2 linked regions of the Macaca mulatta genome follow. The protein of the gene in region 2 interacts with the protein of the main gene of each other region in a pairwise test. Links are inferred from orthologs where the notes say so. Each region holds a gene or a part of one and is shown on either strand. Other genes may lie near its edges.

Region 1 (3,826 bases), on a different chromosome or scaffold from region 2:
ATCAATGCAGAATATAGCTCTGTAATACAAATAAGGGAAATAGAAAATTATCAATAATTTTAGAAAGCTATGCCTCAAACAACATCATGAATGACGTGCATTTATTTATTTATTTATTTTTTTTTTTTGAGACGGAGTCTCGCTCTGTCGCCCAGGCTGGAGTGCAGTGGCCGGATCTCAGCTCACTGCAAGCTCCGCCTCCCGGGTTCACTCCATTCTCCTGCCTCAGCCTCCCGAGTAGCTGGGACTACAGGCGCCCGCCACCTCGCCCGGCTAGTTTTTTGTAGTTTTAGTAGAGACGGGGTTTCACTGTGTTCACCAGGATGGTCTCGATCTCCTGACCTCGTGATCCACCCGTCTCGGCCTCCCAAAGTGCTGGGATTACAGGCTTGAGCCACCGCACCCGGCGACGTGCATTTATATAATCAATATTTACTCAGCCCTAATTATGTACCAGAGATGCAGCAGTGAACACAAACAAAGCAACTTGTTCTTAAATTCTATAAATTAATATACACATTATTGGTAATTTCATATCCAGTGGATGATTCTGTCAACACCTAGGCCTCCCAATTCCATGAACTCTTTTCCTCTAATGATCTCATCTCCTACCATCTGTTGGCCAGATCCCTAGACCCTGTCATTACTAACAACTTCAATTTCCTAATTTCAAGCATGTCATTCTCTGACCACCACTTCCTAACACTCTAATGTGAGCAATCCTTGATCCAGTGGGACCTACAATTAACTTATCTACCTGTTTCCAGCACCTCCTCCTACATACCCAATTAAAGCTCATGGTCATTCAATCCTTGCTGTTATCCTCATATATGCCCTCAACCTTTAGCAACATCTTTACTCTCTACCTACTCCTCACCTGTAACCATCCAGGTGAAAGAGACTAGGATAAAATCCCATGATCACAATGACTGATTTCACTTTAAATCATTATCAGATAGGTACATTGGAGGACACTTAATACATCCCTGAATTAACTGCAGTTCCCTACTTCTTTCACCTTCCTAGCTTATTTCTTACTTTTCCACAAACCTGTAACACCTGTTTCAAATGGTGTCCTTGCTCCCTATCTTTCCGAGATAACTGAAGCATACAGAAGATAATTCCCCCCAGCTCCCAAATTTGCCTGTCCTCCCTTTTTCATGAATGAACTGTCCAAGAACCAATCTGAGCTATCGGGTTCTCCTTCTCTAGTAGATCATCCCATCAGCCTACAAACTTACCATTACTTTCTCCACCTTAAAAAAAGCAATTTCCTTCTCCAGCTACAACCCCATTTTTCTGTTCTTTCAAGCAAAATTCTTTGGGGGAAAAAAAAAAAAGCAAGCCTGTAATAGCCACCTATAAATCCTCTCTTTTCATTCCCTTCCATACACTGAAATCTGTAAGCATTTTTACTCCTGGCACTATACCACAACTGTTTTGGAAGCCATCAAATACTTCCACAGTGTGAAATCCAGAGGTCAATTAAATTCTCAGTCCTTACTTATCTGACCTATCGATGATACGATACACTTCTGCACTGGCTTCCAGGATATCATTGCTCCCTACCTTCCAATCTCCTAAGACTCTCTCCTTCACTCATTCCTCTGCAGCCTCAAAGTCTTCCTTAATGACTTCAAACATGCCAGGCACCCGTACTTCAGGACTTCTACACAAGCTGTCCACCATCCCCTCTGTCTGGTATGTTTTTCCTATGGATGTCTGGATGGCTTAAAGTACCATGCAACATTCATTTGAATGTTCTGAGTGACCAAAGTGAAATGGCTACAACTGGAACACAATGAAGAAGTACACAAAACAAAACTCAAACATTCCAAGGAAATGCATGTTTTGGAGCTTTTGGGGAGACAGCATGGTGCAGCCACATTCCAGGACTGGCTCCAGTGGTGATCCAGGAAGTGCCTATGAGTAAGACTTGTATATTTCTCATCACTGCTCTTTCAACTTCTAGCACAGCACTTGGCATGTAATAAGTATTCAAGTATCTGATGATTGAGTATTGTATCATAAGGTGCTAGTTAAATGAGCTGTATTTACCCTCAATTTCTGTTCATTAATGTAAAAAAGATTAGGTAAGTCTATAGTAATACTTTATGCTACTTGTTAGCAGTTGTCAGAAGCAGATTATCAATACAAACTATAACAAATATGTTAAAAAATCTCATTATTACATACCAAAAAATATATATTTACACAGGGTAAGATTGAAATTAAATTCAATTTCAGCCCTACACATATTTAAGTTTTTGAAATGTCATGAAAAAAAGATAATCTTAGTTTTAATCCCAAACCAATGGCTTTAGGACAAAGACTGTAAAGGAAAAAAAATATTAGGTATAAGGAACAAAGAACAGGGACATGGAACGTCTTAATTAGGATCCTTACTGGATACTAACTATATCAATTAGCAAAGTTCTTTTTTTCTGTGCCTTTGGCTTTATGTTGCCAATCTCTTATTTCTGTAAGAGAAATATTAATTACTATACCCTATGCAAATGCAAAGATCAGTGTCAGGCACATAGTTAGCTCCCAATATCATAAATCACCTCAAAGAGACAGAAAAACAATAGAAAATACAAGATAACAGACATGTTGGCCAATACTTACACCAGGCAGCTGAGGTCTGCCAGATCATCGATGAAATCAAACAACTGACTAATGTCATATGTGATAGAGGGACTGTTGGGATTCATTCTTTTCAGATGTTCTTCATACATTTTACAAACACCTAAGAAAGGATAGGAAAAAAAGCAAAATCTTAAAATCGTATACACTTCTAGATATGAGCAGTGATATATGTTGATATCATATTTACTTTAATAAAGTTGGGCTGGGGAAAAGATGATCGATTGATGGCTTTTGATTATTGCCACTAGCAAATACTTTTTTATTTTATAAATTCACCAGGTCAGGTGCAGCGGCCTCGCAGTTTAAGACCAGCCTGCCTGGGCAACACAGGGAGACCTCATCTCTACAAAAATTAAAAAATTAGCCAGGCCTGATGGCATGTGCCTGTGGTCCCAGCTACTTGGGAAACTGAGGTGGGAGAATCACTTGGCTGCAGTGAGCCATGATTGCATCACTGCACTCCAGTCTGGGCAGCCGAGAAATTCACCACAATGTTGGTGTAACTATTTTGTGTCTTAATAATAAAATGATTACTTCAAACCATTGGAGCTAAGGGACTTTCAAGACTTGCCATCTGATGGCTCAAACAAATATCACTGTGGGTCTTAACAGGTTTTTCAGTAATTCTTCCTAAAGCCACAGAGCAAAAAAATAAAAAATCCAAAAAAAAAAAATTAAAAATTAAAAATTGGCAACAAGGAAAGAGATTATCCTAACGTGTATTTAAGATCCTGGACTATGGATTCACACAGACTTGAGTTCCAGCTCTGCCCTTGTCAAACCGAGGACAAACAACTCCATTCCCTGAACCACATCTGTCAAACAGAGTTAAGAGTGCCTCTTCATAGAATTGTGAGTTTATTTGAAATAATACATATAAAGCATTAGCACATGAACAAGGATGTAAGTACTGAAATATAATAAAAAAGATAATAAGCAAAATCATTAATAGCAAGCCCACATCACTAATTATAATTAGCTACCGAATACATTATCTATTTAGTTTTTAATCAATGATACTCTCCTTTCTTTTCTTTTTTTTTTTGAGACAAGAGTTTTGCTCTTGTTGCCCAGGCTGGAGTGCAATGATGCGATCTTGGCTCACTGCAACCTCTGCCTCCTGGGTTCAAGCGATTCTCCTGCCTCAGTCCCTCAAGTAGCTGGGATTACAGGCACC
Region 2 (3,826 bases):
ATTGCTAAAATTAGTACTGATGATAGTTAATTATATATTACCACAACAAATGGTATTTTATAAGAAACTAGCATGTATATACGTTTTAATCTAAACCTCCCTGATTAAACTATATTTTCTTATTCTAAGGTGGTGATTCTTAACTGGATTTTACGTAATTCTTTGAGAACAGGATGGAACTGCTGAACCCTATCTTTAGGGAAAAAAAGCACATACATAGTTAACGTTTAGGTTTTCTAGACTGGAATCTTGGCTTGACAATTTTCTATGTGACCTTAGGCAATTTCTTTACTTCTCTGTGCTTTAGTTTTGTCATCTGTGTAATGGGGAGATTAATAGTCTTTAACTTATTTGAGAATGAACTGAGTTCATGTGAGTGAAGGGCTGAGAACACTCACTATCCGGCACACAGTGACTCAGAAATCTTTAATTCTCATGATGATGACAATCACTTGAAGATATTCACCGGTTCTGTGAGGCTCACCCAAGGACCTCCAAGTCCCCAGTGACCCCGGGTACAGGAACACTGTCTACTCTTTGTTAAGACAGGAATCACAGATGCTGCCCTAACCCAAGCAATATTATTCTAGAATAAATTTGGGTTGAAAGCTTTAAAAGGTAGGTAATTTTATCAATTCATTTGCTTAGAATTTTGTTAACAACTTTGAGATTTGCTCCAGGTAAAATCTGGATTATCTGGCCTGGTTGAATGTCAGTTGAGAACAATGGAACAAAACGAAGTATATTTTCCATATTTACAAATAGTTATTTGCAATGGGTCTTCTCTCACAGGTCTGGCATTTTACTATTCCAGCATCTGTCTTCAAACATAATTTTAATACAAGTAATTTTAGTTTACTTTACGGTTTATCAAAGTATGTCTAATATTTATTATTGCTATATTTGATCCTTAAACAATATTCTACATAAGACATGACAGGCATTAGTCACCTCTTTTAAAAATTAAGGAAATAAGCAATTTGCCTCAAATTATGGTGGGCTCCCAGGTCATGTGAACCCTATGACACTTTTCTACTCTGTTTTTTTTCAATCAGGATGGCAGGTAAGCTCTACCTGCAGACAATTCGAGGACACTTCATGAAAACTAAGTTTTTGGTGTAATAGTTCTTTACATACCTTGAGAATTCACTGTCCTAAAATTTAAAAATGCCTTGTTTTGAATGTGATTTTACATATAAACTTTTTTTCTTCCAAAATAATGCCAACATTTAACAGTATTCAGCTTAACGTACCTCATTATTATAAGAACAGACGAAATCCTGGTTTTCTAGGGTGTCTGGATGACGCTTTCTTGCAAAAGTTTTTTTCTGTTCATTCTGTACACAGAGTTCCAAGCCTTGGGTAAGTGGTGTTTTAATGAAAGGAAGCAAGCAGTTAGGATCACGGAAGGACACTTCAGCAGCATGAGCCCTGGAAATTTCGTTAGTCTCCAAGAGAGGGTCTGCAGAACATCTTTCCAAACCAAGGCACTCCTCAATTTCACTGAGCTCACAAGATTCTAACGTGCTATTTATAGACACATATTTTGCTGGGTTGCTGTGTTCTACAACTTTTCGGGAAGATCGTATGACTTTGTTCTGATTGCTGTAAAACAGAGCTACCCACATATGAAGTAAAAGCTTCACTTCTTCCACATTATCAGGCAAATCAGTATTCCAGGGCCTAAGAGTTTACAGAAAGAACACATGAAAATCATTGAAAATGGTTATTTTAGTTGATTACCTACCTTATCATAAGCAAGTGCCTCCAACATTAACCTTAGTTTTTGTTATTTTTAAAATTTACAGATATGAAACATGAATGAGTAAATATGTAGTTGACTTAACAAATAATTATCAATCTAACCCACTCATTTTACAGAGACAGGAACTGAGAATCAGAACATGTAATTGCCTTCCTTCAAATCACAAAACCTGTATGGCAGAACCATGATCTGAACATGGGTAGCACGTGTCTTTTACGTCATACAAATTCACTCTGGACACAAAATACTTATTGTAGAAATAGTTTCACCAATACCCAAATCCTCATCACCATGCGTTTGCTAAGTCTGGCTGATTCATTTATTTTCCATTTTTGTGTCTCTCTTCTAATAGTTGAGAAAGTCTGAAGATAAAATCTCTCTCTGGGCAATTCAACAGAACTATACTATTTTCAGATTATAGTTCTGAAAAATATCCTGAAACTGTAAAGGGAGACAGAAAACATTTCTGGCCCTCTGGCAGGCAAAAGGATGGCAGATCGCCAGAGTATGATAAGTTAGGGGGGCTGCAGAGTTGGGAAACAGCTAAACAGGAAGTTCTAAGGAAATGACCTTTATGAGTATATATGAACATGTGTACGGAAGAAAGCCTGACAGCTGTAGAGTCCATATAGTCAGATGTAAAATAGTTCATTAATAGGGAGCTGAATGTCATTTCATGTAGCTAACGAGTGCTTCTTGCTAACAGTAATGGTTACCATTTATTATTACTACTGGCCAGTCACTGTGCAAAAATCCCAATATATGTAACCTCAGGATGCAGCTACATACTTAAGTGTTGGCGACAGACTGTCATCCACCATTGATGTCACCTGAAAATCTGTTAGAAATGCAGAATGTCAGGTCCGTCCCCGAGGAGAATGCATCAGAATCTGCACTTCAGTGAAATCTCTAGATGAGCAGCACACGCAATTAAGCAGCACTGTCCAGAAGCAAGACACTTGCCCAGGATCACAGGAGGTAAGAAAGGGAAAGAACCCGGGTTCAAACCTACACTCCAAAGATGTGGTGCTGGTCAACACTCTGTTATTATTGCCTTGATTCCTTCTTGAGGGAGATCTATAGAACAATCTTATGTGAAACTGCTTAGTCCTATCAGTCTGACCAATTTACCAAGCTACAAGTGATTTTTAAAATGTTTCCTCTGGAATTCAGTCTGTAAAGCATTATTTCTAAATCTCACACTATTTTACATTAAGATCTCATGTAAAAATTGAAATTCAAAAGCCACAAGGGCTTACGAAGGAGCACTGCAAATTGGAAAGCTATTCATCAGGCTAAAATTATCTTTAAAAAGTTCTCCACATGAGCACAGGGGGAAAACCAGCCTGTTACTCTTTATTGCCAGGAAACATGTTTGCTTGATGTTATTATCAAATTTCTGGTTTTACACACACTTCTTTCTCCTTCTCCAGAGTTTGGCACAAGTTTCCCCATCTCACTACATTCATCTCAACAGAAAAATTTCATCCATTTTCACCAAGCTTCACTCATACTCACCCATGTAATGCTCTTACTACAGTTTTCTCCAGTGGGTTGTTGGTATATTTGCTATCTAAGCTGAATGCATATTCTGTTTCACATTTGAAAGTGATCTTAACGGAGTCATCACAGCTAAACACTATACGAGAGCAAGAAGATTTTTTCACACGGGAAGACGCTTGTCGATCCTTGGGCTTCACCATGGGCTCGTCAGGAGGCTTTTGCTGAAGCAAAAGACCAGGCTGATGCCGAAATGGCATGACTTTCCCCACTGGGGTTACTGCTTCAGGGCTTTTTGTCCCATTCTTGGGAAACACAGGGCTTGGTATCTCTCTCTCCTGTAGATTTTTCTTTGAATGTTCTCTAAGGAGCAGGGCATAAGAATGTTCCACAGAAACAGAAGAGCTTTGACTTGCATCTGAAGATTCTAGCATTTCCTCAGTAAGTGCTGACTGGGCTTTAGCAGGGGCCTGACTACACGGAACCAAGCTTTCTTCATCTTGGCTAACAATTAAGTCTGACTCAGAATTACTCTTCCTATCAGAAGATGGGTTAGGAAGT

What was found.
Region 1: the proteins of TASOR2 (region 2) and ERH interact in binary tests that used the Homo sapiens proteins (3 or more experiments, as listed by UniProt). The two-hybrid records come from large-scale screens. The link is inferred for Macaca mulatta from reciprocal best matches to the Homo sapiens genes TASOR2 and ERH.

The regions. Positions count from the first base shown.
Region 1 is NC_133412.1:142,569,351-142,573,176, forward strand, and holds part of ERH (enhancer of rudimentary homolog), read right to left. Parts: intron 2,750-3,826; coding exon 2,629-2,749; intron 1-2,628. UniProt on the Homo sapiens protein: May have a role in the cell cycle.
Region 2 is NC_133414.1:7,299,883-7,303,708, reverse strand, and holds part of TASOR2 (protein TASOR 2), read right to left. Parts: coding exon 3,284-3,826; intron 1,684-3,283; coding exon 1,254-1,683; intron 1-1,253.